Rattus norvegicus: one gene and its partner. The protein of the gene in region 1 interacts with the protein of each later gene in a pairwise test. Links are inferred from orthologs where the notes say so. Each region holds a gene or a part of one and is shown on either strand. Other genes may lie near its edges.

Region 1 (3,506 bases):
AGGTCAGGACACAGGACGCTGGATATGCCCTCCAGTCGGATGATGTAGTTGCCAGGAATGTGGTCAGAAGTTGGGGGTGGAGGGGTACGTTGTGAGAGGGACGGACTTTCGGAGGGTAATGGGAATTCTAGTCAGCGGGTAATTGCAGCAGAGCTGAGGGTTCTTCAGGATTGCTGGCCAGGGCTTTGGGAAACAAAGGGAACGTGGTGGTCATGTGTGCCACAGCAAAGTGACTGTGTGAGAGCACCCTTGAGGACAGCACTGTGAGAGAAGTGTCTGGTATAAGTTACTGCCACTGTGGGAGAACAAGGCTCAGAAAGGAGGCTGGCAACTCCCGAGAGGTCATCACAGATCAAACCGATGGTTCCGAGGCGAAAGGAAGACTCTGAGTAGGGACAGACTGGGCCGGGAGAATTCCGCTCTAGCCACTGGGGTGCGGCACTGGCATCAAGTTGATGCTCATCCCACTTGGGTTTATTCAGTGGTCACCGTGTGCATCACTGTTGTGAGTTTTCGTTCTCCTGTCACTTCCCCACATCCAAGAGCTTCCTACTGTGTGTGCCTCCATCTCTGGGCACTTGGGAGGGCTCCTTCTCCTAGGAGTAATGTAATTTCTGGAGCCTTCACTAGGATCAGCATATAGTCTCAAGGTGACAGGCCTGGGCCACAGACTTCATACAGAGGTTCCTGGACAGGCTGCCACCTGAACACAGCCACACCCATCTTATGAGCTCCCATTATCAGCCTGCTTTCAGGCAACAACTACACGCCGTGGAGCTGTGTCGGGGACCTTACCTGGGCTTTGGAGAATCTAAAATGTTACTGTGTGGAAAATACTTTCCAACTGCTGATACAGACAATAGAGGCAAAAAGAAACATCTTGAATAAATAGGAGCCTCCCTGGGTGGTGGGTAATAAGTCATTATAGTCTTTATCTTGGTTTCTGTTTTTCTTTTTGTGTCTTGCCACAAATTTAATTTGAAAATGAAAAGGCCTGGAAAGTATTAGAAATAGTATTCGGAGCTCGTTTAACGGTGGGCTTTTGCTCTTCCTCCTTAATTAGTGCTGCTTTTGATACAAAGACGGGACATCGTGTGGCAGTGAAGAAGCTGTCGAGACCGTTTCAGTCCATCATTCACGCCAAAAGGACCTACAGGGAGCTGCGGCTGCTGAAGCACATGAAGCACGAGAATGTGAGTTCCTCCTCTCTGCGCAGAGCAAGGCCTTGTGTGCAGTGCTGCCGGGACACAGCACACTGTAGGGTTGGGTTTGCGTTGCACGAGGGTTCTGTGCCGTGGGGCTGTAAGGTCATAGTAAGGTTGATGGAGCCTCTTCCCAGACTTGTACTCTACTCCACGAGCTTAAGGAGAGTTTAGTTTCCTATTCTTATTTAGTGTCAGTGCATGTGTTTGCCTGCTGGAGTTTACGTGCACCGTGGGGTGCAGTACCTTGGAGACCAGGAGATGGCAGAGACCTGGACCTGGAATCGCAGGTGCTTGAGGCCCACTGGGTGCTGAGAACCAAACCTGGCTGCTCTGCAACAGTAGCCCCTGCTCCTCCCTGCTGAGCCGTCTCCACCCAGTGCTTCCTTTTACGGATCTCTTCATTGGTGCTTCTGTGCATGTGCACATGTGAGGTTATGGATATAAAAAGGCAGCTTGTGGGAATTGGCCCTCAATTATAACTTCAGTTCTAGGGGATCTGTTGCCCTCTTCTGGTCTCAGTGAGTACTGTGTACGCGTGATAACACCCACATAACATTCAGGCAAAACATAAAATGAAAGATTAAAAAACAACGTTTGGGGGGTTGGGGATTTAGCTCAGTGGTAGAGCGCTTGCCTAGGAAGCGCAAGGCTCTGGGTTCGGTCCCCAGCCCCGAAAAAAAGAAAAAAGAAAAAAAAAAAAAAGAAAAGAAAAATGATAATAAAATGTGGAAACGGGAAGAAAAAAAAAAAAACAACGTTTGGGCTGTAGAGATTGCTCAACGGTTAGAGCACTGACTGCTCTCCCAGAGGTCCTGAGTTCAATTCCCAGCAACCACACAGTGGCTCACAACCATCTATAATGGGATCTTCCGGTGTGTCTGAAGACAGCTACAGTGTACTTATATATAATAAATAAATAAATCAAAAAACCCCAAAAACATTTGAAGATGAATTTTTTTAAATTTCTAACTATGTCTACATGCTTGTGTACATGTGGACAGGGTATCACACATGTGGGCAGTGCCGTGGAAGACAGAAGAGGGTGTCAGATCATCTGGATTTGGATCCGGAGTTGCAGGTGCTTGTGAGGCCCCTGATGGGATGCTGAGAGCTGAACTTTGGGCCCTGGACGAATGATTGAGTCATCTCCCCCATCTCGAAAGATGAGGCTCTGTTCATGTTTGTTGTTGCATCTGCAGGCTGCTTACCATCATTCTTATATTAAGATGTTCAGGTTCTAGCAGTTGGGAGCCCCCCATATTAGCGTTTGGTGTGTTTTGTTTTGTTTTTCTAGGCACAGGGTTTCTCTGTGCAGCCCTAGCTGTCCTGGACCCTCTGTAGACCAGGCTGCCCTCAAACTCAGATCCATCTCCCTCTGCCTCTCTAGTGTTCGGATTAAAGGTGTGCGCCCCGAAACTGGCTGTGCTTTGTGTTGTTTGTTTGTTTGAGAGAGACTGGGTCTCTCTCTGTAGCTCTGTCTGGGTTGGAATTACTGAGCCACTCTCCAGCCCTGTTGCTTTGTATTTTTGAACAAAGCAGGCACGGGGGGGGGGGGGGTGGGGGTGGGGGTGGGAAAGACCAGAATACTTAATGTAGAAATTATCTCACCTCTCAGTCTATCAATTTTATGCAGTGAAAAATGAAGACTTGGGGCTGGAGAGATGTCTCAGTGACTGAGGATTTGCTGCTCTTGTAGAGGACCCAAGATTAGTTCCCAGCATCTAGGTTGGGTGACTCACAACCTGCCTGTAATTCCAGCTTCAGGGGTTTACCCTCCCTCCGGCATCCAGGGACACAGGCACAGGAGAGGGCGAGGGTGGGGAGAGACAGACAGACACAAAATAAAGATCACATAAGGAAGGAGTCCTAATTCTTTTTTCGCTGTCTGACACACTAGTGGCCATGTGAACGAATTCTAAGTTGCAGGGTTTCCCTGGCACTGTGTGGAGTGATAGGTCAGGCGTGTGGCGCATGTCTGTGGGCATTTGGGAGGTGGCAGCAGGAAGATCCGGAGTCCAAGCCTGGGCCATATGAACTCCTCTCTGCAAACCCCCAACCCCCAGAAAGAATGATGTTAGCACATGTGTACCAGAAACACAGTCTGGGTAGGAAGCTAGCACACTGGCATACGGCCGTGGCTGCACTTGGATCGCTCTACCTGAAACTCTACAGAGGCACTGCAGCAAGACTGTTGCTTTCCGACTGTTTGATTTTATTTGTTCTTGCAGGTGATTGGTCTGTTGGATGTGTTTACACCTGCAAGGTCCCTGGAGGAATTCAACGATGTGTGAGTGATTTTTT
Region 2 (4,165 bases), on another chromosome or scaffold:
GTTCTGAGAGGTAGGGAGGGCAGTGTTATCTGAAGATTTCTTTTAGGATCGTTGCTCAAAGGGATGTAAAAACGCCCTTTAAAAATAACGTGTCCCGAATTTCCAGAAGAATCTAGGCAGAACGCAAGTGCTAAGAGAGGCCAAAGCGGACGTTGCTGGGCAAAGACACATGGTGGCCAGTAAAACACCTCCCCTTGCAAAGAGGAAGAAACCGCAGAATGTTCCTGACTCGGCACCCCTGCGGAGTGGTGCAATGTTTATGTTTGTGTATCCAACTCGGTGGTGTTGGCAGCAGGCTCACGGCCTACCCCGTAGTCATGGAGTTTTGGGGAAGGACACAGACATCGTTGGGGTCTTCCCAGGTGTGATGGGTACAGTTTGTTCCACAGAGTGGAGGATTCAAAGCTCTCAGTCCTGAGTCATTGGTGTGCTCAGCTTCTGTTCAGTAGAGTTGAAGAGCTAGGCATTAGTGAGGCGGGGACAGGAGGGTCTCTGTGAGTTCAAGGCCAGCCAGGGCTAAACAGCAAGACCTCTCTCAAACAAAACAAAAGAAAGTTGTGTTGGGGGCAGAGGAGCAGTGGCTGGCAGCATCTTCTGATGCCTCGCGACGACAACGTGCTTGACGGTCCTTGGGCGGCGCTGTGGAGCTCTATCCAAGTCCCCCCCCCCCCCCTCCCCGAAAATGTCAAACCTGGGCTCCACACCCGAATTTGCAACCCTCCTCCCTTTGCTCCAAGTAAGTCCTCTAGGGACCATCGTAGTTAAGATAACACTTCGGTGTGGGGGTTGTGGGGGGAGCTAACTGGAGACACTCCTTTGTCAGCGTAAAACTTTTAAAGTGAGATTCAAGAAGGACGTCTGGACTCTCGCTGTTTGTCCTCAGTATAGCCAGAGGGTTATAGACCGAGTTGGTCATCTCTCACTATCCACTTCCCTTTCCCGCTCTGCTCCCGCGCCCACCACCCCAGCAGCCAGAGCGGGGCCAACTGAGACCGTGATCCCAGGAGTGGCCGCGCGCTCGTTAGAGACCCGGGCAGGGGAGCAGGGCAGGTGTCCCCGGGCGCGTCCTCAGGCCGAGCCTTCTGGCCACCCCGGCTGGCAGCGCGCCGTCCTGCCTGCGAGCTCGGAGGGCAGGAGGGTGGGGGCCCGGCCCGGAGCCAGCGCTCAAAGCCGACCCGCTCCCAGGCCGATGACGTCTTTGCTTTTGGCTTTGGTGGCGCCAAGCCCGGCAGGGCGGGTGACGTCACCACCCGGTCACGTGTCCGCCATTCAAACAAACAAACCGTTCCCCCCCTCCTCCTGTGCCGCGCCCGGGACCGCCCCCAAGAGGCCACATAAAACCGCGCTCCTCCGAACCAGCGCGCAGCAAAGGACTGGCGGGCGGGACGCGCGGTGAAGCCAGATTAGGATCAGCGAGCACTTGAGGATTTAGGGCCACAAAAAACCGCACAAGATCGACAGACTATTTCTGGAGAGCTGCAGAACGGGCACGCTGGGGTCGCTGGTGCTGGCCATGGTGATGGAGGTGGGCATCCTGGACGCCGGGGGGCTGCGCGCGCTGCTGCGAGAGCGCGCCGCTCAGTGCCTGCTTCTGGATTGTCGCTCCTTCTTCGCCTTCAACGCCGGCCACATCGTGGGCTCAGTGAACGTGCGCTTCAGCACCATCGTGCGGCGCCGCGCCAAGGGCGCCATGGGCCTGGAGCATATCGTGCCGAACACCGAACTGCGCGGCCGCCTGCTGGCCGGAGCCTATCACGCCGTAGTGCTGCTGGACGAACGCAGCGCCGCCCTGGACGGCGCCAAGCGCGACGGCACCCTGGCCCTGGCCGCGGGCGCGCTCTGCCGAGAAGCGCGCTCCACTCAAGTCTTCTTCCTCCAAGGTACGCGCAGGACTTCTGCCATCAGCTAAGGAAGGGGGGCGTCCCACCTGGAGTGTGAGAGCGCCTGTGTCCAGGGGCTTGTCACTGGCTTTGTTTGACTCCGGGAACAAAGACTTCCTAAACCTTCCTTGTAAACTCGCAGCCCCTGGTGGGTGGGTGACTTGTCTCCAGGTACTGCGTCGGCGGCGGCGTTAATGGGAAAATATGTACCTTTGTATTCTCAGGAGGATATGAAGCGTTTTCGGCTTCCTGCCCTGAGCTGTGCAGCAAACAGTCCACCCCCATGGGGCTCAGCCTCCCGCTGAGTACTAGTGTGCCTGACAGTGCAGAATCCGGATGCAGCTCCTGTAGCACCCCTCTCTACGACCAGGTTAGTAGGAGTCCGGGGTCTACGAGAGGCTGGGAGGTGGCAGAACTGGCAGAGCTCTGGGAAGCTTGTGCCAGGGAGAATAGAGAAAGCGGCTGTAGCTTTATTTATACTAGCGGGGACACGAGGATCTTCATTTCACCATGAAGCAATTGGATGGAGCTGAATTCTCCCAGTTGCTGGCACGGAAGAGCTTGTTGGCTCTGTCCCGGCCAACCGGCTCGATTCTTTACTATTATTTTCATATGTCAACAGCAGTACTGAGGTCACCGCTTTTCAGAAACTCCCTTTTTCAGTCGGGAGTTTTTGTGGGCGTGGGTCCTGGCGTGTTCACGCCGAACAAGCTTGATGAACGCTGGATTGTTTTGGATTTCAGGGGGGCCCAGTGGAGATCCTGTCCTTCCTGTACCTGGGCAGTGCTTACCATGCTTCCCGGAAAGATATGCTCGACGCCTTGGGTATCACTGCTTTGATCAACGTCTCGGCCAATTGTCCTAACCACTTTGAGGGTCACTACCAGTACAAGAGCATCCCTGTGGAGGACAACCACAAGGCAGACATTAGCTCCTGGTTCAACGAGGCGATTGACTTTATAGGTAAGTGGGATAGATGTCTGGGATCTCTGCGTTCTTCTCTACTGTAGCTGCTGAGCCCAACCTTCCTCCTCACTGAGACTTGAATAGTTGGACTGACTGTCTTGTCCAGGATTATACGTGCAGACACCCAATCTGGGTTTAAATCCCTTGCTATCCTTTGCACAGCATATGCACAGTCCCTATGATAGCATGAGGGCGTCTTTGATCAGGGCTCGGCTGTCCTCCTGAGTTTTTGAGTAAGCCATAACTTTGTTTTTCAGACTCCATCAAGGATGCTGGAGGAAGGGTGTTTGTGCACTGCCAGGCCGGCATCTCCAGGTCAGCCACCATCTGCCTTGCTTACCTCATGAGGACTAACCGAGTGAAGCTGGACGAGGCCTTTGAGTTCGTGAAGCAGAGGCGGAGTATTATCTCCCCCAACTTCAGCTTCATGGGCCAGCTGCTGCAATTTGAGTCCCAAGTACTGGCCCCTCACTGTTCTGCAGAAGCTGGGAGCCCGGCCATGGCTGTCCTTGACCGGGGCACCTCTACTACAACGGTCTTCAACTTCCCTGTCTCCATCCCTGTTCACCCCACGAACAGTGCCCTGAACTACCTTCAAAGCCCCATCACAACCTCTCCGAGCTGCTGAAGGGCCAGGGGAGGTGTGGAGTTTCACGTGCCACCGGGACGACACTCCTCCCATGGGAGGAGCAATGCAATAACTCTGGGAGAGGCTCATGTGAGCTGGTCCTTATTTATTTAACACCCCCCCCCCCAAACACCTCCCGAGTTCCACTGAGTTCCCAAGCAGTCATAACAATGACTTGACCGCAAGACATTTGCTGAACTCAGCCCGTTCGGGACCAATATATTGTGGGTACATCGAGCCCCTCTGACAAAACAGGGCAGAAGGGAAAGGACTCTGTTTGAGCCAGTTTCTTCCCTTGCCTGTTTTTTCTAGAAACTTCGTGCTTGACATACCTACCAGTATTAACCATTCCCGATGACATACACGTTTGAGAGTTTTACCTTATTTATTTTTGTGTGGGTGGGTGGTCTGCCCTCACAAATGTCATTGTCTACTCATAGAAGAACGAAATACCTCACTTTTTGTGTTTGCGTACTGTACTATCTTGTAAATAGACCCAGAGCAGGCTTTCAGCACTGATGGACGAAGCCAGTGTTGGTTTGTTTGTAGCTTTTAGCTATCAACAGTTGTATGTTTGTTTATTTATGATCTGAAGTAATATATTTCTTCTTCTGAGAAGACATTTTGTTACTAGGATGACTTTTTTTTTATACAGCAGAATAAATTATGACATTTCTATTGAGTTCTCGGT

The links. The genes of interacting proteins can lie anywhere in the genome.
Region 2: the proteins of Mapk14 (region 1) and Dusp1 interact in binary tests that used the Homo sapiens proteins (3 or more experiments, as listed by UniProt). The link is inferred for Rattus norvegicus from reciprocal best matches to the Homo sapiens genes MAPK14 and DUSP1.

What each region holds. Positions count from the first base shown.
Region 1 is NC_086038.1:6,775,359-6,778,864, forward strand, and holds part of Mapk14 (mitogen-activated protein kinase 14), read left to right. Parts: intron 1-1,063; coding exon 1,064-1,193; intron 1,194-3,433; coding exon 3,434-3,492; intron 3,493-3,506. UniProt on the Homo sapiens protein: Serine/threonine kinase which acts as an essential component of the MAP kinase signal transduction pathway.
Region 2 is NC_086028.1:17,183,491-17,187,655, forward strand, and holds Dusp1 (dual specificity protein phosphatase 1), read left to right. Parts: upstream 1-1,362; 5' UTR 1,363-1,513; coding exon 1,514-1,880; intron 1,881-2,104; coding exon 2,105-2,250; intron 2,251-2,623; coding exon 2,624-2,843; intron 2,844-3,103; coding exon 3,104-3,474; 3' UTR 3,475-4,156; downstream 4,157-4,165. UniProt on the Homo sapiens protein: Dual specificity phosphatase that dephosphorylates MAP kinase MAPK1/ERK2 on both 'Thr-183' and 'Tyr-185', regulating its activity during the meiotic cell cycle.